Linked DNA regions of Schizosaccharomyces pombe. Changing the gene in region 2 together with the main gene of any one other region gives a genetic interaction. Each region holds a gene or a part of one and is shown on either strand. Other genes may lie near its edges. The genes, in order: SPOM_SPBC1348.10C, pdh1, sin1 and mak1.

What was found.
Region 1: mutations in pdh1 (region 2) and SPOM_SPBC1348.10C together harm fitness less than expected from each alone (positive genetic interaction), as found in Schizosaccharomyces pombe (one large-scale study listed by BioGRID).
Region 3: mutations in pdh1 (region 2) and sin1 together harm fitness less than expected from each alone (positive genetic interaction), as found in Schizosaccharomyces pombe (one large-scale study listed by BioGRID).
Region 4: mutations in pdh1 (region 2) and mak1 together harm fitness less than expected from each alone (positive genetic interaction), as found in Schizosaccharomyces pombe (one large-scale study listed by BioGRID).

The regions. Positions count from the first base shown.
Region 1 is NC_003423.3:25,569-30,177, forward strand, and holds SPOM_SPBC1348.10C (phospholipase), read right to left. Parts: upstream 2,805-4,609; coding exon 852-2,804; intron 788-851; coding exon 719-787; 3' UTR 587-718; downstream 1-586. Other genes in the region: SPOM_SPBC1348.09 (dehydrogenase), read left to right, coding at 1-58. UniProt on the Schizosaccharomyces pombe protein: Catalyzes the release of fatty acids from lysophospholipids.
Region 2 is NC_003421.2:190,962-195,068, forward strand, and holds pdh1 (protein pdh1), read right to left. Parts: upstream 2,166-4,107; coding exon 1,485-2,165; 3' UTR 862-1,484; downstream 1-861. Other genes in the region: kinetochore protein fta7, read left to right, coding at 62-218, 277-441, 565-861; Set3 complex subunit Hif2, read left to right, coding at 3,591-3,642, 3,733-4,107.
Region 3 is NC_003424.3:4,745,436-4,750,534, forward strand, and holds sin1 (MAP kinase-interacting protein Sin1), read right to left. Parts: upstream 2,993-5,099; 5' UTR 2,854-2,992; coding exon 2,831-2,853; intron 2,788-2,830; exon of another isoform or gene 2,772-2,787; coding exon 888-2,771; exon of another isoform or gene 849-887; coding exon 758-848; 3' UTR 665-757; downstream 1-664. Other genes in the region: transcription factor TFIIE subunit Tfa1, read left to right, coding at 1-664; mid2 (septin ring organizing protein), read right to left, coding at 3,704-5,099. UniProt on the Schizosaccharomyces pombe protein: Component of the mechanistic target of rapamycin complex 2 (mTORC2), which regulates multiple cellular processes to control cell growth in response to environmental signals.
Region 4 is NC_003424.3:4,707,795-4,715,911, reverse strand, and holds mak1 (phosphorelay sensor kinase Mak1), read right to left. Parts: upstream 6,204-8,117; 5' UTR 5,943-6,203; coding exon 5,874-5,942; exon of another isoform or gene 5,774-5,873; coding exon 923-5,773; 3' UTR 651-922; downstream 1-650. Other genes in the region: kinesin-like protein Klp3, read right to left, coding at 6,954-8,117. UniProt on the Schizosaccharomyces pombe protein: Involved in the control of the SAPK-dependent transcriptional response to peroxide stress. Also has a role in G2/M regulation.

The DNA.
Region 1 (4,609 bases), on a different chromosome or scaffold from region 2:
AAGCAAAGTTGATGATGCTACATTTTTAGCAACACACCGAAAACAAATGGGTCTTTAAACGATTTCGTTCTACCAATTGAATATTCCTCTTTTACTGTTTTTTGTACCAAACTGTTGATAAATCTTTCAGCATTTATTTAGTTTCCTTCCTTTAGGAAGTTTCAAAATACAGTAAAATATTTAGTAGTGACTCCTCATATATTGAATTAACAAGTCTCTGTCTTACTTTTAAATGTTTGTAGTCAATTTTATTATTATCTATTTTTTAAAAAACCGGGAGCTTTTAAAACAATCTATCATTTAATGTTCATCATTAGCACAACGATCTTGGACTATTTTTCATTCAACTTGTGATTCCCAATTGTACGTATATATCAATTTAAAGCAATGTTGTATTTAATCGTTTTCATGCTTACATTCTTTCGTTTCGTGTCTTTACGTGAATGCACATCGATCTCAGATTGAGCCAACTAAGCCTGTTCATCCATTCGACCGGTTGCATTTATCTAAAAAAGTTTAGAGATAACAAATTATTCATTTACCCGTTTACATAGCTCCATCAAACGTAAAGGGTTTAACTGAGCAGTCTCACGAATGAGGAAAATCCTTAGTTCTCTTTCATAACGAATTCGTAACCAAGTACAATAAAGGTAAATCTATCTATTCTAAATTTCTCACATGCCTGAGAATCCATTGAAACAACATCAATGGAATCTTTTTACGGATTTTCTTTCGCTTCGAAAATCGAGTCCCACCAATGTTTATGAGTGGGAGTGGCTGATGCTACCTAGAACAAAAGTTAGCGATGAAAAAAAAAATAGTTTAATCAACGTGAATTTTTGAGAACATACAGATGAAGATGTTGTACTAGAGGCTGTACCCGAGGTTGTGCCTGACGGTGCACGAGATGTTGTCGCAGCAGACATTACGGTAGGATCATATACAGAAGCCGTACTAGTTGCAAGAGTTCCGTCCCAACAGTATTCTTGGAAACAAGAAGAGCACTGGGTAGGAGTACTCAATTTCTTGCGTTCCAAAGAGCGTTGAATTATAGCGCATGCTAAGCAAACTGCAAAAGATTCATTATTGTTTTGCGTAGTCGACATAAATGCATTCTCAAGAATTCCATTAGCCATCTTGTCGTCCATGCTCATAGTAAATGTCGATATATTGGAATAATAAGTCCAAGGGTAATTTGGAAAGTATACAAGGAGAGGTGGGGTATTATTGTCTACATCATGATTTCCTGCTGTAGTATTTTTACCGTCACATCCAAAAAACGTAGGACGAGTGTTTAGTCCCAAAGAGATAATAGTGTTTTCGTCCGGAATATATGGAAATCCACGCACATCAACACTCTTGTTCGCATTAAAGGTTACAACTCTCTCATATGTAGCAACAATGGAAGATCCAAGGGGCCAACCATAAGGATCATTATAAGTCGAATCAATCGCAAATACAACGTCCACAAATCGTTGTGGGTGTAACAAAGGCCAAAGGGGAATGTTTTCCCTATCCTCACCACCATCAACTAGATCAATAGTATCATACGGTTCGAACGCATTCACTACAGAGGTATTGGAAGTAGTATAATTTTGGTAAGGATTGGGATAAGGAGCAATATCATCTTGATGCTTAGAAAGATCTTCAAGAATCGCATGAAGAATATCGTAATAGGTATCATTCTTTTTGACATTTTCATTCCAGTCAAGAAGAAAAGAGTTGAATAAAGTAGCTGAAGTGCCCATAACAAAACCTGCATTATCATAGTTATGAATGCAAGACTTATCGGGTGGAACCCCATCCAACAAGTGAGTTCCCACATATTCCATTGGAATGAATGCTTTAATTCCATTGTCCCATGTACCAAATTCATACGCCGTGAACTCAAAGATACTGGTATTGGCAGGGATGGCCGTTTCTTCTTCTAATCGGCTATCCGCAACGATGATGGGATAAGGATAATCAGCATTTTGAAACCAGCTTTGATTTCTCATACTGGAATATGTAATGCCTGGTCCTCCCCTTTCAGCATCAACAAGTTTACGGGACAAAGCACGTCCCCATAAATCCGTCAAAGAACAGTCAAAGCCCGCATGTTTCTTTTGATCAATTTCTTTGCGCAAGTCATTATAATAATTCAAATTTTCAATGACATTATCCCCATGAGGAGCAAAAACGCTATGTTCCAAATTCCAGACATTATCACGTAAGTATGTTATATTCGTAAAATTATTAATAGCCACTGATCCAACAAGCCATGAACCACCAGAAAGACCGCTGATATACATCGCGGATTGCAGCAGACCAGAAAGTGGAGAGTCACTCTCGAATCTTGAGTCAAAAGCATTGAATGCACCACCTCCATTAACCATCGCCCGTAACCCACCACCTGAGAATGCAATTCCTAAACGTGGACCATCCGAGCTGTTAACCACCTTATCCAAGTCAACATTCAAACCTGTCTTAGAAATAAATGATCGGAGTTCACTGTTAACCTTAGAAATACGTTTGTTGATATAGCTCTGTTCGCCCTCATTTAAACCTTCAGAAGCCGGCCTCAACAGATTGTCGTTTGAACAGGTCACATTGAAAGGGGCATACGAAGCGTCGGTACTTCGTTTTACGAGCGCAGGTTTCCTTTTAGACAAAGTGTAAAGTACGGATGTATCAATATCTTGTCCTTTATACGAACTAGATTCTTCAAAATCATATATTTCAGAAATCTCCACACGACCGGGAGGATAAGCTAACGTCAACGAAATTTGAACGAAAGCAAAGAGTCCAATATAGTTGACATACATTGCAGAAAATAAAAAAAGTTCAAACAAAAGCTGTAAAAATTGAAGTTCGCATGGAAAAGTGTACTACACGGAAGAATATTAAATCATATATTACTCTGGCGCACTACACATCTCTGATCCGGAAGAAAGAATTCCGAACTTTAAAAGCCCCAAAATTTGTCGCGTTATCTCAAGATCTGTCTACAAAAGTGATCTTAAATACGAAACAATGCTTGCTGCAAAATTCGCAAACGTTAGGCGGATACAATTTAGTACGGCAAGCTTTTACTTTATGATCAATGTTACCTTAAATTTCTATTGAGTAACAAATGTTACAAGATATGTATGCGAACAATAATACCAGAAGCTGATCGCTCATCATCGAATGGAGTTAATTACTTCGCTTATACAAAATAGTTTGTTAGTATTACGATGCATAATCTGAAATGGGAGCGTGTAAGGGAATGATCTGATGATCACGTATTGATTATAAATATAAGTAGGAGGATGATAGTAGGGACATTCGATGTATGGTGAGAGGCAACGTAATCTAGTGTACTAGCGCGGATACACGAAAAAGAAAACGCCAATAAAATGCATAGCGAATTCATGATTCCACGTTTAACACATTGCATGCATTTCAACTAGCTTAAGTTATTTTGATCTTCATATACTAGGGAGAAATAAGTTTTGTATTTTCGAGTAGTCTTTGTTCATAAATCCTCGCTATTATCACAATTATTCGACTTTCATACATGTAAATATCTTTTCGCTTGACCTCGAGAAAACAAATTTGTTTGTTATTTTTTGCAACATTTGACATTATTTTATGATATGTCAATAGTAGTTTTAATTGCTCGAACGTACATTTGTACTTTTTGTCACACCTGCTTAAGTTGTACATCGCGGTAATTTCTTATTATTAAAGGCCATTAACCTGATTGTCTCTTTAGATCTCTCTTGAATTGTTTGTTTTACTGTATCTTTCCGAAACAGTACATAAGGTTGTAACTTTTCCACACTAATTTCCTAATCATCGTTATGCACAAAACATTTAGCTGAACAAAGTTTGATAGTTTTTGTATGGCAGCTTGTGATGCCTTTTTATTTGTTCTACTTTTTCTTCAAGTTGGAGATAAAAGAGCACTTTTTAGTGATCAATTATGCTTTAGGCTTATAGGTCGTATTTCATTTCCACGATCAATAATTACTTGCTCATTTACCCACATCAAATCTACATCGTGTGCATTGTATTTATATTCTCTACTCATGACTACCAACTATAAGCATTGAACAAGAATATGCTGTTTCTAATATTTGTCATTGTAGCCAACGTCGTTTTGGACTTGTTTCAAAATGATAGTGCTAATAATTGCATTTATATTTAATCATTTTTGGATTCATTTTTTTCTCATTTGCTTGATTAAAAAATTAACATTATTGTTGAATATTCTTTTACTGCTAATCGCCGTTTAGTATCGCTTTTATACTGCCGTTCTGCTTCTCGACATTATGCGACATAAACTTAACTTTTACAGAAATATTAATCTCACGAATTATCTACTCATACTATATTCCTATATTGGTATAAATCTTTTTTTTATCTAATTTTTGAATTTGTTAATCAGCAATTTGATCAACTTCTATTCATGAATATGTTGCCTACATGACGCTTTTCAATTGCACAGCAAAATTTAGATAACGTTTTAAATAAATTCACGTATTCTATAGCACGTTACCTAACGTTACCAAGCTGAGCAATAAACTTGAGATGTATTGTATTATCTCTTGCTTCTTTTTGTCTATGTTTATTTTTATCTGTCAAG
Region 2 (4,107 bases):
GTACTTTTCCAAATTTTTTTAGTCATTATGTGTACGTATGCTAACTGTGCTATCGTAACAGATTGGTTTTGAATACAATAAAATCAGAAACAAGAAAATCTTTGGCCGAGGAATGGTTCATGAATATACTTTTAAAAATCGAAGCTCCTCTGAGAAATTTGCCTGTACCAAGGAAAAGAAAAGAGTCAATACTGTTCTCTCAATTACTTTCTTCGAATGTAAGTTATTAAGTCTTGATACGCATACATACGAAAGAGATATGACTAACATTTTTAGATGCAATTGGAACAGCAATTATACAGTGATTTGGACCATATTAACGTACTTCAACAGGAATTGAAGGTTGAAACTGCTCGTTTGGAGAATGAACAGAAATCTTACGAAGAAATGAAACAAAACATGGCCATAAATAATTCACGGCTTGCCGATTTAAAATCTAAAGTAAGTTTAAAACACGAACAGGCGAATGTTTTATTCAAGACTTCATCTTAACATATGACACAAAATGAGTTTTCCATTGTTTCAGTTATGTAAATAATCAAGCAATCACTAATATTTTCTTAGCTTCACCCTTATTTGAAGAAAGGCTTAAAGATATCCCATGATAATTTTTCAGACTCCAACGATTTCTCGTTCCAAAAGAAACTGAATACAGAAGATTCTAATACTTCTAAAACCTCTACATTGGATATGTATAAAGAAAAATTAAAGCCATTTACGAAAACTATGCAAATCCATGCAAATAAAACTGTTCAATTAAGTCAAACTATACAAAAAGCTACTCTTCTTTTACAACGACTAAACAATACAAAAAATATAGGCCTAAATAAGTCATCCAAACTTAAGATAAAGAATATCTAGACATAGAAAAGCTAGAGCTTAAGACTTGATGACTTCTACATGTTAACATATAGTCCCTGGCCCCGAACCATGACCAACCCAAAAACTGGATTAAATCGTCCTTTAATATAAGCACTCAGACTAATTGTCCCGTCTTCATTGAATTCTCACAAATAGTGTGACGACAAGCCAACTTAATGGAGTGCTTGGTAGATTCCAGCAGCTACGGACTTAATTCAATTAAAGGACTTTTTGCTAGAGTTTAGGGTAGGGTAAGCATAAAATTATAGTAGCATTATAGTATCGATTTTGAAAGTAATTTCTTTTGCTTTATTTAATCATTAAAAGATGCCGTAAAGGATTTTGTGCCTTGCGGAATTGTCAAGAATTGTAGTATTACTCGTAAACGGTCGTGATTGTTATTTAACAGTAGTAACTGCCAAAAAAGACTTAGTTTTTTATTTTTAATAAAAGCCTTCAATATTATTTAATAAATAGACGCAAAATCATAAGCAAACTGATTTTAAATTCATTTGCGCATGCAGTCAATAATTATAAAAGCAAAGCAATACACGGGTCTTAGATAGCTAGTCAAAACAATAGCAATGCGTAAAAAAGTATTGATTTTGATTAAAACGGAAAGTTCATATAGGAAGCTGAGTATGACTTTCTAAATGGAAAAGTTCTTGAACCACAGGATGAACAAACAACACATATAGCTCAGAGATGCAAGTGCCTGAGACAGCTAAGCAGAAATAAGTCCATGGAAAACTTTGAAAAACATAAAATAAGTGAATTGAAAGGAACAAATAAATAAGGTATTTTGACAATGGACAGAGAAATTTGTTTGAAGATTCTTCCTTTTTACACGAATACAATTGGTACCAAGCAGTTAAGATCCCTGCTTGAATTGCGGTCGTACTTTGGATAATTGCGACCAACAAGTAATGTGAATCTGTAATTTTGTATGCAATAAAGCAAGGTATCAAGACAGCAATGTTTGGAATCACTGTTAAAAACTGACAGAAAAGCAAGTACTCCTTATGACCCCATGAACGTTCAATTTCAACGCCATACACCGAGAGAATGAGAATACTTGAAAGTAGCGTAAAAACATTAGCATCAACAAAACTTGTGGTAATTATTGTCCATGGAAACAAGAACAAAGCATTTGGAACCAAATGAAAACATAAAAGAAAGAAAGTTACAATAGAACTCCTACCAAACACTTTGATGTAGATGCTGATTCCAAATGATATTGCAGAAAACAATACCTCTAGGATAAGAAGCCTTTTCGTAACCGAAAACTTGGAGAAATGATTCATTGATAAATTTTAGGTAAAAAAAAATAGTAAAGTTCTCGTTACCGTAAAAATCATCGACGTCAACAATTTTGGTCTCAAAGTAAACAATACCAGGATACCTCTAAGTAAATGGTGCAATCCGAAATAAAATTTCTAGCTGTTTGCATCTAAAAAATAGAAACTCTTACGAAAACTGAATTGGCCAAAGATCGCTTCACTGGAATATAAGCATAATAAGAAATTGCCTATATGGATTAATACAGTTAGTAAATTAGAAAATGAGAAGTTGAGATAAGACACTGCACCTGGTTTTTTAATGCCTTCTCAATAATCTCATTTACAGGGACATTCGGTAGCGGGTAAGATGATAGGTAGGTCATGGCTCGACCAGATTATAAACATCCAGAAAATTACATAACTTTGTAGCTTGCCGATTCTAATAGAAGATAGAAAAGAAGTTTAAACTCGCTGATATATTTGTTTGAGCACAACCTGGTTTATCAAGTAACTATGATCGGTTCGGTTGAGGAGATAAACGCATTCAAAGTTAGAGTAAATAGTAAAGGGAGAAATTAATTTTTATTATATTTGGCAGTTTTTTGAGGGAAACCCTGATGAGAAATTGCTGCATATCGCTCTGCTGGGTTAAAACAAAGTGTTGATTCTCTTAATCGAATAATGTCTTAAATTATTAGTCATAATTCAAATCATCTTTTCCTTTCTTAGAATATAGTGAATGCATTGTTTAGAGCGGTCTTATATCAGAAAGAAGCATTCGCTTGACCTTGAAACATTTGTAATAGAAAATCACATTTCCTTAGCATGATAAGCGGACCCTGAATGTTCAAATTATTCAAATAAAATAGCAGTATATTTTAGAAATAAAAAAACCAAATAAGGCTCCTACCACTCTTGTATGGAATGTTGAGTACAGAAATAGCATACGAATTCATGAAAGTCAGAAAATACAATCTGGCTGCCAACTCCTTAACACAAACTTCTAAAAGTGAATTTTGATTGAAATTAAAAGTCGAAGAGAACTATTAGCATTGCCGTTTTAAGTTGTTAAGAGACCGACTTCAAAGAGGGAAAACTTTACTGAAATTCCTCGGATACAAAAAGTGGGCACTCGATTATTTTTATTTTGATCAAGCGCTGTTTAAATAGTAACCTACGTGCAAATAATAGAGCAGGAAGATTTAATCCACAGTTTCAGCCATCGCACGTATCTAGTTAAATTTCGGTAACTAATACTTCCACAACTACTAAAAACCGTCTCAATGGGAATTCGTCGACAATCCTTCAAGTTAAATCCGTATTGACAGGAAAAGAAAGAAAATAGAAGACTGTTGAGGTTTTAAGTGAAACTCGTTGACAGACCTTAAGATTTGACTTTAATTTACGTGGGTAGCTTGAACCATTATAGATTTAGAAATTGTGGAGGAAATGGATACGAATCAAGTTAATTATATAATCTGGAGATATTTGAAAGAATGCGGTATGTTAAATAGTTGGTTTTTGTGAATCATAGTCGCTTCATCTCTCCTTTTTTTCGGTTTCGTTAACATTATCGTGTTTTTTGTTGTAGGTTATTCGCATACTAAATTTGCATTTGAAAGGGAAACAGGCATCCAAAATTTAGACAAACAATGGGGAAGTACTTGCCAGGTTGGCGCTTTAGTCGAAATTCTGCAGAAGGGTTTACAGTACGTGGAGCTCGAAAAGCACTACGTTGATAATCACTCCTCAAACGAAGAAGCTAGCAAAACATCTATAGATGGAGAAAGTCTTGTAAATGAAAATCCTTGTAAACTCCCTTTCTATCTCACCGTACCTCATATATGCGAAACGACACTGACGAAAGCTGACTCTACCAATGGGTTTTGCGAACACAATAATTCTAATGATCACCAACTTAAAATTTTACAAGATAAGGGGTCTGGGTCGCCTTCATCTCCGGTCA
Region 3 (5,099 bases), on a different chromosome or scaffold from region 2:
TTTGTCGCAACAAAACTTGTCAAAAAGTAATTCAGACGTCCGTCTTTCCACCTCTTCGCCATCTATTACAGTTGATTTCTCTGCTGATAAAGAGACTGATGAAAAGCGTGAAAGGAATTGCGACAAGCAAGTCAAAGCTGCTCAAAACATTCTTCCCGAATGGCATGCAACATCAACAATTTCTGGCTCCATTACTCGTGCTGGAGCTAAAGATGCCGCACTTCATAGTTTTAGAACTGAAACTGTTAATGAGGTTCAAGACACTAAAACAGATATTACTTCTGAAAAGAGCGCCTTAGATGCTTATTACGCAACACTTCGTGCAAAGCAAAAAGAGGAAAGCGAGTTTATGGACAGTGAAAACGTAGATGATGAGGAGGATGATGACTTCTTAGACGTTACGACGGCTACCTCTCTTCAAAACAAAAGTACTGATTATGGGTCGGTCAAGCGTAAAACCGAGAACCTAAATTCAGATAGTGATATCCAAAATAAAAGAACAAAATCGATAGAAGAAAACAATTCATTACCACCTATTGTTTCTACAAATGGTATTACTGATGGTGATACGGAAATGCAAGAAAGTAAAAAGAATGTTATTATTAATGGATTTAATGAGGACGATGAAGACGATGAAGATGAAGCTGATTTTGAAGATGTTTAATAAAAATGACATAGGGGAGAGAGCAATGTGATACCAAAAAACAAAGGTGTTTATACCTATGTATTCATAGAATCTTTTTGTAATAAATAAATGTTAATTTATTTTTTTAACAGTATTCATCAGTGCACGTATCCTGCTAACTATAATGGCAGCTTCCAAGGCGGACAAAACTTCAAAATCATACCTGAACTCGTTAGCTTATTAGCGTTAAAAAATTTCTTACCGCTTAGTTTCCCTATTCTTGGACACAATCATTTTAAAATTACATGGTGATTTTTTAGACTGCTTGCATAAAATAATCGATCCAGCATGTATACTGGACGTCTTAGGCGTTTCAAATATATTTTTGGATTCAGACGGCATTATGTGAACGTATTCTCCATCAATAGCTAGTAGACGCTCATGTCTTCCCATAAATGAAACAGGTTGTCGTTTCCATACAAGAAATTCTTGATAGGTATTGCTCGACATAATATCTGTTGCATTGTATGTTGAAGATTGTGCATCTTTCTTAATAGATCCATAAACGGAATTTTGTGGTGAGGAGGTTGGCAATTGTTGGGTACTTCCTTTTTTATCGCGTACCTTCTTTTTAACAAGTTCTAGAGTTGGATTTCCGTCTAGTGAACTAAATGTTTTATCAAGTGGTAAAACAGTATCAGATCCAGCAACTCGCAGAGTATACTTAAATCGCTCCAATTGCTTCATCCAACACACCTGGTTCAACACCATAGCCAATCTAGTAGTTTTTGATATTTCAATATTGCAAAATCGAGCATTATCCCCGTATGGGGGAAGTCGTACCTGTACGACATGAGAAGTATTAAGTGTATCTTTGACATCCTGAGCTTGCTTTTGTGATTGACTTGAAGTTGAACTAGTATGCCGAATATGCGTTTTGTTATTGGCTTCAGGAATTGATGTTGGATGCTTCGATTTAAACGGGTAGGCAGCTTGATTTTCCTTTATTTGGGCAGGAGTGGCTTTAACTAAAGCAAATGCGTCAAAACCAAATTTTGATAATGGACCTACACGGTCCAAAGCGGGAAAATCTTCATCTAGCTCCCCGTCATCTTCAACAATACGTAAATTCCAATAATTCGGATTTTGAGCCTCATCTTCTATTGGGGGCACGAGTTGCTGGTTAACGTATTGAAGTAAAATATAACCGATAGCCTCAGAGACCAAAACATTCTTTCGGAGTTCTACAAATAAGGGCTTTGAAGGACTTTCGCTCGAAGGAAAATAAATGTTTAAACGGAGGGCATTTGATTCTGCATGTCCAGAAAAAGTAGCAAAATTTTCAGCCAATGGCCCATTCTGGCTACTGTTTTCTTTATGTTCAAGTAATGCACGAAGAGCAGATGTAGGAGCCTTTGCGTTCGAAACAGATCTTGCTTTATTGACTGTATTGTGTGTTCCGCGTTGCTTACCAGGAAAAAGAGCATCAACCGCAACAACTGCATCAGCTTCAGTGTCAGTTAAGGAAGAATTCATTGGAAAAGTAAGAGGAATTTCTCCTTGACTTAAATGAAATGATTCCTCAGAAATCGACCGTAGATCATCATAATCCGTAGAAACACTGCTTTGCTGGTTTATGGAAGACTGTTTGGACGAGGTTAAATTCACTGCCTGCGAGGATTCTACCATGTTGGTAAGCTTAAGATTTGCGATAGCATCAATATTATTTAATGTGGAAATTTTGGGGTCCAGTCTTTCCTCTTCTTTTATACTTGCAACATCCTTCTGCATTGGGACTTTGCTAAAAGAAAATATACACGAGTTATCGTCATCACCCACATCTGAAGATTCGGATAAGTCAGAAGTAGCATAATCAGAATCTTCAGCTCGAGAATGATTAACTTGACCCCCAGCACCATTTACTTGTTTAGTATCACTCGGCTTTCGGACATTGGATACAGTGTCATTAGCGACAATCGGGGGACTTGAAGAAAACGAAGTTTTAGAATAATCATAATCATGAATCAACAAGTCTTGCAATGATTTGTCCAATTCCCATTCCGGGGCCTCAGTAGATATAACTCGATTTTCGATTGAGTCAGGAAGTATATGAGAATATTGCATTCGCAAAAATGTTAACAAAAGACTGTAAAATAAACGTATTAGTTTGTATAAGTTTCATAGGAAAAAAAATAGTATCCTTACACTTTCTCTCTTGTTAATTCCATTCTGAGTCCTTATTATATCGCATTTACAGACTTTATAAAATATTTAATTTCAACGAAGTTTGAATACTTAGCGACCATACTTTTTATGGCACCTTAATATAGAAAATTTGTAAACTCAATTATGTGAAACGTTGGTGACGGACGCCGCGTGCTTTATTTCAGTTGCTATGTATCCCCCGCTAAGCATTTAATTAAGTGTTGGGGGTAACACCGTAAAGTACCACCAAATTTCAAAAGACAGCAAAATATGAACGAAACTATTAATTCAAACAGTTATTAACTGAAGTACAAAAACGCTAGACAATGAAAAAAAGTGATCTCATATACGTTTTAGATATTGCGAAACAGCTAAAAATGGTATTTGAACTATATAGCAATTACGGTATTAATTATTTACAGAATAATGTAATTAAATTATTGTGGAATTTTTATTTTTTGAAGTTTCTCAAATGGCAAGCTTACGACTTAATAAATTCACTCGACAACGCCAAGCTAGAGTATTTTAAGGAATTTGATTTATTTACAAAGCCAAGATAAACGTTTTGAGACAACTTATTTTGACAACGTTTCTTCGGATCAAGGGAAACTTTCAAAAATGAAGTATTTTGCAACTGAAGTATAAATATACATGGGGAGTAGTAAGTAATTGCTATCCGATTTTTAACAGCTTATATAAAACGAGCTCATTTCAACCGAATCTAGCTTCTCGATGGTAGATAAAATGAACATTATGTATTATGCGAGGGAAACAACAAAACCAATGAAAAATGCAAGACGATATAGATAAAGGAGAAGATAAAGACCAAATGTGATTTAAATAGAAAAAGTGAGGTCGAAGCAAATGGTCAATTTAAAAACTCAGCGAAAGAAATGATTTGGTCCAATTTTTGTGAACCATTGAACATTGCCCCAAATGCTGACGAAGTGTAGACATCCACTCATCTTTTTCGCCGACGGTTTCAGCGTAAAAATCGATGTAGTCCCCATTACTGAAAATGATACGGAAACCCGATTCGAAATACAGATACCCTTCTAGTTCTTCTTCATCACTATAATGGTTGTCATCCACGATATGTGTGGCTTCAGACAAATCAATCGTTGCTCTGCGAACTTTAGAGAATTGTTGAAAAGCTACTAACTTTGATCCTATTAATTGAAAATAGCGACGACGCCAATAAGGGCAATCCCCACCTTGTTGACATAGATAACCATCACACAATAAAGTTCTATCCCATTCAGCAAGCTTTAAGTCATACATGGCAGACTCGATTGAAGCGGGAAGTTCTTTCAGAGAGACAGGAAGCGCTGGTAAGAAAAATACGTGGATTTCGAGTTCTCCTACTTTTCGAGGGAGAGGCTTGACATCTTTAGCTGCCGGATCAACAGTCCATTTGTTCATGATTGGTAGAACCATAGATTGACAACGGCCTAGTGCGGTTCGGCTTACAGAATCAGTGTTAATGGTAACTTCGCCGAAAGTTCCATCTTCAGAAACAAATCCATGAAGTGCTTCTGAAACGGGGTCGGTAGTCATAGACTTTCTCTTATTTGTTGAAAATACTTTTCCAAGTGTAGAACGAGTGCGAACCTTAGGTGGATCGTAAGCCGCACGGAGCGTACATACAATTGAAGAACTAATACTTTCATCAAAAGTATACTCATTTTCAATTTTAGTAGTAGAGTGTAAGGCGTTCCATGGTACTTGAATGTGCTTACCAGAGATTGTATAAGTGAACCTAGTGGTCATCCCCGATGCCAAAGGAATAGTTAAGTTTCTGATTTCCATAAGACGGACAAACAATCTTCCACTCCCGCCGGTTTGTTGCAAACTACTGGACAAATTTCGCGATAACGATTCTGGCATATAACAAGAATTGACAACGCGCCGCGAAGTTTGCATTTCTTGTTTCTGACTAGTGGCATGTACAACTTTAGAATTCTGTCGTAGCAAATATGTCCTAGTCAAAGCGTCAAAGGCTGAAAGAACATTTGTAAAGCGAGGATCTGGTAAAGAAACCACTTTTGGAAGAAGCGGTATCGGAGCATTTTCGTCAAGAACATGAGGGGAATCTAAAGAGGTGATGGAGCTCGTAAGTGGCTCTTCGTATTCATGAATAGAATCTGAACGGTAGATATCAGTCCTACAATTCTCTCGGTTCTCATCTGCGAATGATAAGCGAGGAGGTGTCTTTATATCTTGGAACGAGGACGAATCTTCAGAGAAACCAAAAGATGCAATACTGTTT
Region 4 (8,117 bases), on a different chromosome or scaffold from region 2:
ACAATACCTATACTCAGTTGCTACTTATACAACCTGTGTATTGTAATATAATAGACCACAAGGAAAACTCACCGCAGTTCTACGTATCCTTAAATCAGATACCAAACTGCGTAGCTTACATGTAGCTAGTGTAGTATTGCTGACATGTAAAATAGTAATACTATATAACGTAGTATAAGTATTGATGCATTATCTAATCGGTTGTAGGCAAAGCCAGTAATTGAACTAAATATACTTTGTACGACGAAAGGTATTGATACCAACCAAGAACTTGTTTTTTCTTTCTGGACTGGCTTATAGCATTCCCCTTGGAATTAGAATAAAAATCCTGTCTACACAGTGAACAAATATATGTAGTGATGCATAGTGAAGTGTAGCATAATTTACGCTTATGGTAAGGGAAAAAATTTGCTCCAGCAGTGACTTGAACACTGGGCCTCTTGCTTACTAGGCAAGCGCTCTACCACTGAGCTACAAGAGCTAATTACGAATTACCTAAAGTTTGCATTTAACAATGAGAATGTATCCTCGAATTGATTATTTGACTGCTTCCTATACTTTAATTTGGTTTGTATTTCAAAACTGATTGATTAGCACACAATACAATTTTTTTTTTAACTTGCCAATAAAATACACATTACATTAAACAAGGGGAATATGTGATATTTAATATTATTATACTGGTTCTGGGCGCTGGAAATATAAATGCATTAAAAAGTTAATAAAATAAAATATGAGATGCTTAGATAATTATTATTTTGGAAAATATTCAAAATAAGAAGTTGTCAATTTAAATAAATATAGGCACTAAATAAGCTTTTGATCAAAACAAAGAAAAAATATAAAGTAAAAATAAAAGCATTAAAACAGTGAGATCCTTTCTAAAAATACAAGCAAAAGTGAGTGAAGATTAAATATCAAATCATTTGTGTAACTTTGATTGGTTCGTATAATTAAGTATGCCAGATATGATTAAGGACAAGTGTTGCAAAGTAATAGGTTTGGCAAGGTAAGAATCAAAACCACTATCTTTGCAGCTTAAAACAACATGAGGTAAAGCATTCGCACTAAGTGCAACTATAGGAACTTTAGGGTAATCGTTTTCCAATTCGTATTTACGAATTTCATTACATGCCTGGTAACCATCCATAACAGGCATTTGTAAATCCATTAGAATAAGAGAGTAAAAATTAGGCTTTTCACGTTTCCATTCTTCAACACATTGCAAACCGTCCATGGTGACCTTGAATTTGACACCAATTCTTTCAAGGTAACGGCTTATAACCTTAATATTGATAATGTTGTCTTCCGCCAACAACACGCTAAAGCCAGACTTTGCCAGATTATATCGGAGTGTTTCAGCATCAGCCTTCTGCTCCATTGCAGCCTTTCGAGTCATATCATTAAGTGCACCGATTTTCCCCTTTTCCTCAGAATCAGAATAAAATAATGGAAAAAACTTGGATGGTTTCACAAGTTTTAAAACGTAATGGATGCTTTCCGAATTACAATCCTCGCTATCTGAAAAAATCTTAGATAATGATTCTTTTTGTCGAGTGGAAGTCACCAAAATAAATTTTGTATCCTTGTATAGACTACAAAGTTGCAGTGATTTGACAAATAAAACATATGCTTCTATGTCCGGAAGATTTAATATAATATGGGTGACCTTGGATTGCATAGGATTCTCTAGCAATTCTTCAAAGGCTTCATAGGTATTTCCATACCTTACGATATCTTTAAATGAGCTTATATCGATAATTGATTGAAGCATGTTGCCAATCGCTTCACTACTGTATTTAGTGTGTGATACAACAACGGCTAAAGCACTTTTATCCAACTTGATCCCAGAAGGTTTGTTTCTATAGAGTCTCCAAAATAGAACTGTGTATGGATCAGCAGATGCGCCGCATCGACAAAATTCCGATTCAGAAGCGAAAGGATTCACATATTTGTTGGATTGAACATTTTTGTCCGATTCAAGTTTACGTCGGTTGCTTTCTCTTCCGGGATCTGCTTTATTTACGGCCAATTTTACAAAATTCGTCGCGCTTTTATCGTTTCCATCGTCTGCGCAATAATAGTCTTCTGTGCTTTGTTTGCTTTTTTCGTATGGACAAAAACAGACTGGACAACAACCATCTGGGGGTTCAAATTTTAGAGGAGTTTTATCCATTGTAAACGTTGCAGTCCACATAAAGCGCGTTCCCACGCCTCTTCTACTTTGACAGGACATACTACCATTATGTAGCTCAACAAGCTCTTTTGAAATAACTAATCCAAGACCTGAGCCACCATGTCTTGGTAATGTAGAACTCTCTACTTGAGAAAACGGTTTAAACATTTGTAATTGATCATCTCTGTTAAACCCTTGACCGGTATCAATGCATTCCCACTTTAAAACAACAGTATTGGTTGAGTAATCAATCTTTTCAACGGAACAACGAGTAAAAACTTCACCAACATTCGTAAATTTAATAGCATTTCCGATCACATTCAAAGCAACTTGCCTCATTCTCATATTATCCCCAAATACTATATCAGGAACATCAATGTCAACCGTGTAGTTCAATTCTATTCCCTTTGAAAAAGCGAGGGTACCTAGAGTTTCGTTTGCATCTTCCATCATAGCTCGTACAGAAAAGCGTTGGCTAGTTAGCTTCATCATTCCAGCTCTGACTTTACTAAGGTCCAAAATATCATTGATAACAGTCAAAAGAGACTTAGCTGATTGCTGAATAATACGTGCATAACTCAGCTGTTCGGCAGACATTTGAGTTTCCAACAAGAAGCTTACCATGCCTGTAATACCGATAAGAGGGGTTCGAATTTCATGAGACATATTGGAAAGATACTGCATTTTGCTCCGAACAATTCTTTGAGCTTCAATGTTAGATTCTTGGAGCTTTTCTTCCAACATTTTATGATCGTGAATATCAGTACAAGTTCCTAACCAGAGATTAGTAGACGTATCAGCAGAATTATTTACGCAAACAGATTTCACCAAATGCCATCTATAATGACCATCGGTAGATCTAAAACGTATCTCCGCCGCAAACGTTTTGGTACCATTACTTTCGTCTTGGTTATTAAACGTTCCCTCCAAAGATTCAGGCAATAAACATTTCTTGCGATCAGCGTGATATACAGCAGATAAAAACCCAAGTCCCAATGAAGATTCCAGTGAAAGACCTGAATAACTTAACCACTGCGCATTTGCATAAATAATTCCATTTTTACCATTTGCGGCAAAAACAATTTGAGGAGAAGCTTCAGCTAAAGACCTGTAGCTGTTTTCATTTGCGGCTATAGCTGATTGTTTTTGTAGTTCTCGTTCTGCCAACTTTTGATCATGGACATCCGTCATTGTTCCAAAAAAATGTAGCACAGATCCAGTGCAATCCCGTAAAGGAACCGCGCGACAGATAAAGTATCGATAAACATTATCAAACCTTTGCAAACGAATTTCATGATAAAAACCACTACCAGAGAATAATGAAGATTTCCAGTCATTTAAAAAGTTTGGCAGATCATCAGGATGAATTCGACTAAATTGTAGCTCTATTTGCTCATTCATATTTAAACCACAGTAAAGAAGAGTTTTTCTATTAACCCATGTGAGTTTTCCACTTCCCGGATCCGCAGTAAACACATGAACCGGTATAGAATCAATTATAACCTTTAGTAAGGGAAAAGGAGGCGCTTGACCACCACAATGCCCTTGCACATACTTGTGAGATTCAGAAGTGCAACAGGCATATGATTTTGATTTATCTAAAACAATTTCATCCTTCTTTAGAGTAATAGTTTCATTTGAATAATTTTCACCATCATTTAGCGAGAATCTCAAATTCTCGTTCACTTTAGAATTCTTTTTGCTAATTCGAGACTTCAATCTAGCTAGCAAACGATGCTTCTTTAAAGTAACCCATGATCGCTGGTTTTTTTTAAAAAATTCAGAAGGAACTGGTACAAACCTAGGCAATTTAGGTATGTTATTAAGAGAAGATCCTTTAGCATTGATATTGCAAAAGCTGCCTACGCACTCTCCTTCTTTATGAGGACAATCAGAGTTTTCGGAGCTCGCGCTCATACTCAACTCCTTGGTATTGTCAGTGCTAGACGTGTTAAATAATAGATGCCTTTGTGTAGGACAAGGAAGTAACGGAACAGATTGAGAATTTGAGTATGAAGAAAAAATAAAGGGTATCAAACGTTCTATGGAGGCTATTAAATTTTCCGGATAAGGAACTAAATTGGACTTGAAAGAAAGAATTGCAATTGGAGCTCTCCCACGGCTTGAAGTTTGATCCGAACAAGGAAACATCAGAGGAACATGTACAATACTGACAGCAGTTTCAGTAGGAAAACTGGTGAAGTCGTTCAAATGATCTTCTTGACGCCTGTTACCAGAAAAATTCATACCTTTACAATCATCATTAACAGCTGTTTCTGATACGGACTCTGAAGCAGACTTCTCTGTTGACGATTCAGTAGCGAAAGAAGATTCTTGCAAGCAATTTTGGAAGAATGGATTCCTATTAGGATCTGTTTGAATGGAGGGACTAGCAACTGGAGATCTTGACCAAGGAGAAAGTAAATTTTGTTCATACTCATCATAAATGTTTGAAGGTTCTTCCGAAAAAGACGAACTTTGTGCTTTTGAAATGTCACTTTGGGAATACGGTTTACGATTCTGACTGAAATGTGAAACAAATGCTCTCTTTTTCTGTGGATAAAGTCCATTTAACTGAGCTGCAGAAGCACTAATTTCAACCTGCTTTTTCAATTCATTAAGTTTTTCATCATGAAAAACTTTCCATGAATTCTTAATGCTGCGAATATCATCAACATTAGGTATAGAACTAAAGTAATCATTATCATGAACCTTGGTGTTTTTAACAATGTGCTGTTGTTTACGTGTATATACAAGCAATGTCGCACGCTCCAAGACTGTTTGTACAACTTTGCTATCAATAAGCAAATCCCCTTCATGTTTAAGAGAAGCTGGATCTTTGTATATAATACCCTTTGAACCATCCGAAGCAACTACGGTAACATAAGAACTGCTAGCAAGGTTGTCATTAACACTTATAGGGTTACTATACGGATCATAATGGGAACCGCCATCGTAATAACATCTGAGTTGCCAAGGAGTATTGTATATGTCAGAAAGGTCACGCGGTTCTACAACAGATATTTGAGTGGAAAAAAACTGCTGAGCGAAAAAGTCAATAATGTTTTTCCAGAAATTCATCAAACCGGTTTTAAAGACCAATAAGCAAGCCATTTCATACACATTTCCAATGGTACGGTTACGCTTCTCCTGTAACTGCTTAAATAAGTTAGCGGATGAATCTGTTTCAAATGGTTGCTCATCAGTTAGTGAGTGCGAAGCAGAAGTATTATCGTTGTTCAAAGCATTTCCACAAGAAGAAACGGATGGAGCAGGTGAATGGCATAATGAATTTAGTGATTCCCTAGATTTTTGAGGAGAATAGCAATCTGAACTCATTGAGGAGGTTTTAAATAACTCATTGGGACGTTTGGATGTCATCAATCGATTTGGATTTACTCGGGGAAAATTAATAAGTCGCTCATCCTCTAGTGAAGGAGAAGATACATTATTGAAAGAAAATGAATTTCGATGCTGCCTATTTAAACTGGTGGGAGATTCAAGTATCGGAGAATGAACAGAGCCAACAGAAGAGTTTTGAGAATTAGTAAACGATCCTACAATTTTTGATGATTTTTGCAGCTGGTGGTCCATGGCCTTATTCAAACGTTAGTAATTTAAATTAATTAAGTAACAAGAGATATCACATTTTATTTCATATTTAAAAAAGGAGAATCCAAGTATTGAAATCACTTACCTCTTTCAACTTTTCCAAGTGAGAATTAGAACCAACGTTATTGTTGATTTGATCGTCAGGTGGCCTCATTTTTTTAGACTAAATTTACAGGCCAGTATAGATACTAAATAAAACAAAGTTTCCAACTGTAATTACCAAAAAGAAAGTGCTATCTTATAAAGATCGTTTCAAATAAAAAACTGATGTATTTGAGTTATTTGACCACGGCAACCAGCAATGGAAATTATAAGCGTACCATTTAAAACGCTTTTTTCCTAGCGACTTTACAGCACTGAAGATTGGTAAAAAGTGTTCGAAATAGGGAAATGAAACAACTCAACAAGTTGTGTTAGCAAAATGTAAATGGATATTGAAGATCGCGTAAATGTTGTTTAGCGAAGATTGGTGGCTAGTAAATATGATCGTTCTGTTAGAAACAAGTCACTACACTATACTGTGCTGCGTTAGTTCAACTTTTCATAATATTCATGATTCTCCGTATTTCCATCCTTAGTGTAAATCTTCTATACTAGTAGTTTTATAACAATGCATTATGTTGATACATTCAAACCTTCTTTCCTGACTTCAGTTATAAGCCATATATGTGTGGTTATGTTAGTGTATTCAATATCATAATTATATTGATACAACATTTTACCATCTACGATAAACATCCTACATAAGATTATATACATCGCAAGTAACACTTAAACTACAGTTCGTTGTAGCTTAAAAAAGGTAATGATTGCTTAGCCAATAGTCAATCCTTGCTAAAGAATAGTAGTCTCAGATTACTAAATTCGCTGATTATATTATAACGGTAAATTTTTATTGAATTGTTATTACATCATCATTTGAGATGTTACACATTTGCTGAATAAGCATATAAACAATGCATTGCTGCGTAGCTGTTTTCTTTTATATTATAATGCTGCAGCAATATAAAAGAAGCTGCATAAATAATTAGTCAGAAAATTAGTTTATTCAGAAAGCAGCTAGACGAGATGCAATATTTCATGATTAAATGTGAGCTCAACAACTCTAAAGAAATTAATTAAACATATATAATCCTTCGCAAAGCAGAGTAAAAAAGTGTAGCTTTTAAGTGCCCCCTTGAATTTTCTTAATTACTGTTCCATTTTGAGGTCGCTCTTTGGAAATTAAAGCTTTAATCAATTTTCGTTGAACATTTACTAGAGCAGCCAGTGAGGAATCCAAAGTACTCAGTTTTTGTAAAAAATTGTTTCTCTCGTTATTTATCGAAAAATTTTTATCTTTCTGTTCTATTGTAAAACCCGGTTTGTCATTTAATGAGTTGTTTGCAGTAAGATTTGAATTTACTCTGTGGTTTTTAACAAGCTCAACATACCGCTCCTGAGCATCGCCCAATGCAGTCATAAGGTCTGACAATTGCTGTTTAGTGGATGATAAAACACCATCTCGTTGTTTAAGTTCAAGTTGTGCTTCAGCATACAAACGATTGATAGAATCAGAATCAAAGTTATGTCTGTGTATCGAAGCAACTGTGCTTTCGTCTCTGTCATTATTACTTTCCTGAATTGTTCTATTTCCTTGAATGATTTCTGCTTCCTTTAAGTTGGATTTTTCGGCGAGATTTGACAGTGTGAGGGAATGCTCGCCTGACCATACGTTAGAATGACAATTATTATAGTCTAAGTTATTGTTAATTCTGGCTCCACAAACGCAACGAGACAAAGCATCTTTATAAATATACAGCTGTCTTTTCATTTCATCAACAGAAAGTTCTGAGTTTACTACCGCTTTGTTTTTGATGCTCTTTGCACGATGTCCAAACCTAAGAGTAGATAAGGTCTCTGTTGCATTGTATGAATCTGGTGAACAGTTAATAATTAGAGTGGTCCGAGAATTTCCACCAAGAGACTCTTTTAAAATACGCGTTAACTTGGAATCTCTATAAGGAACATGTGATAATTTGCTGTCTGTGAGAGAATTAATAACCATTCCAAGAGTTGAAAGAGAACGGTTTATTTTCTTTGCTTCTTCTAAGGTTTGCCCGACTGCTCCACTTTTTCCTACGCTTTCGGAACCTGCCAAGTCAACTAAAAACAACCGGCCTCGTCGAGTTTCGCCGGACTCAGTGTCCGTTTGGACAACTTCGAGTACAAAAATAGAATGAGACCGTGAACTTTGCGCATTCATCGACGTACTTGCAACGGCACGTGACCCCATACCTTTATTTAAAATATCCAATGCCTCCGTTTCACTTGATACGTAAATCGTTTT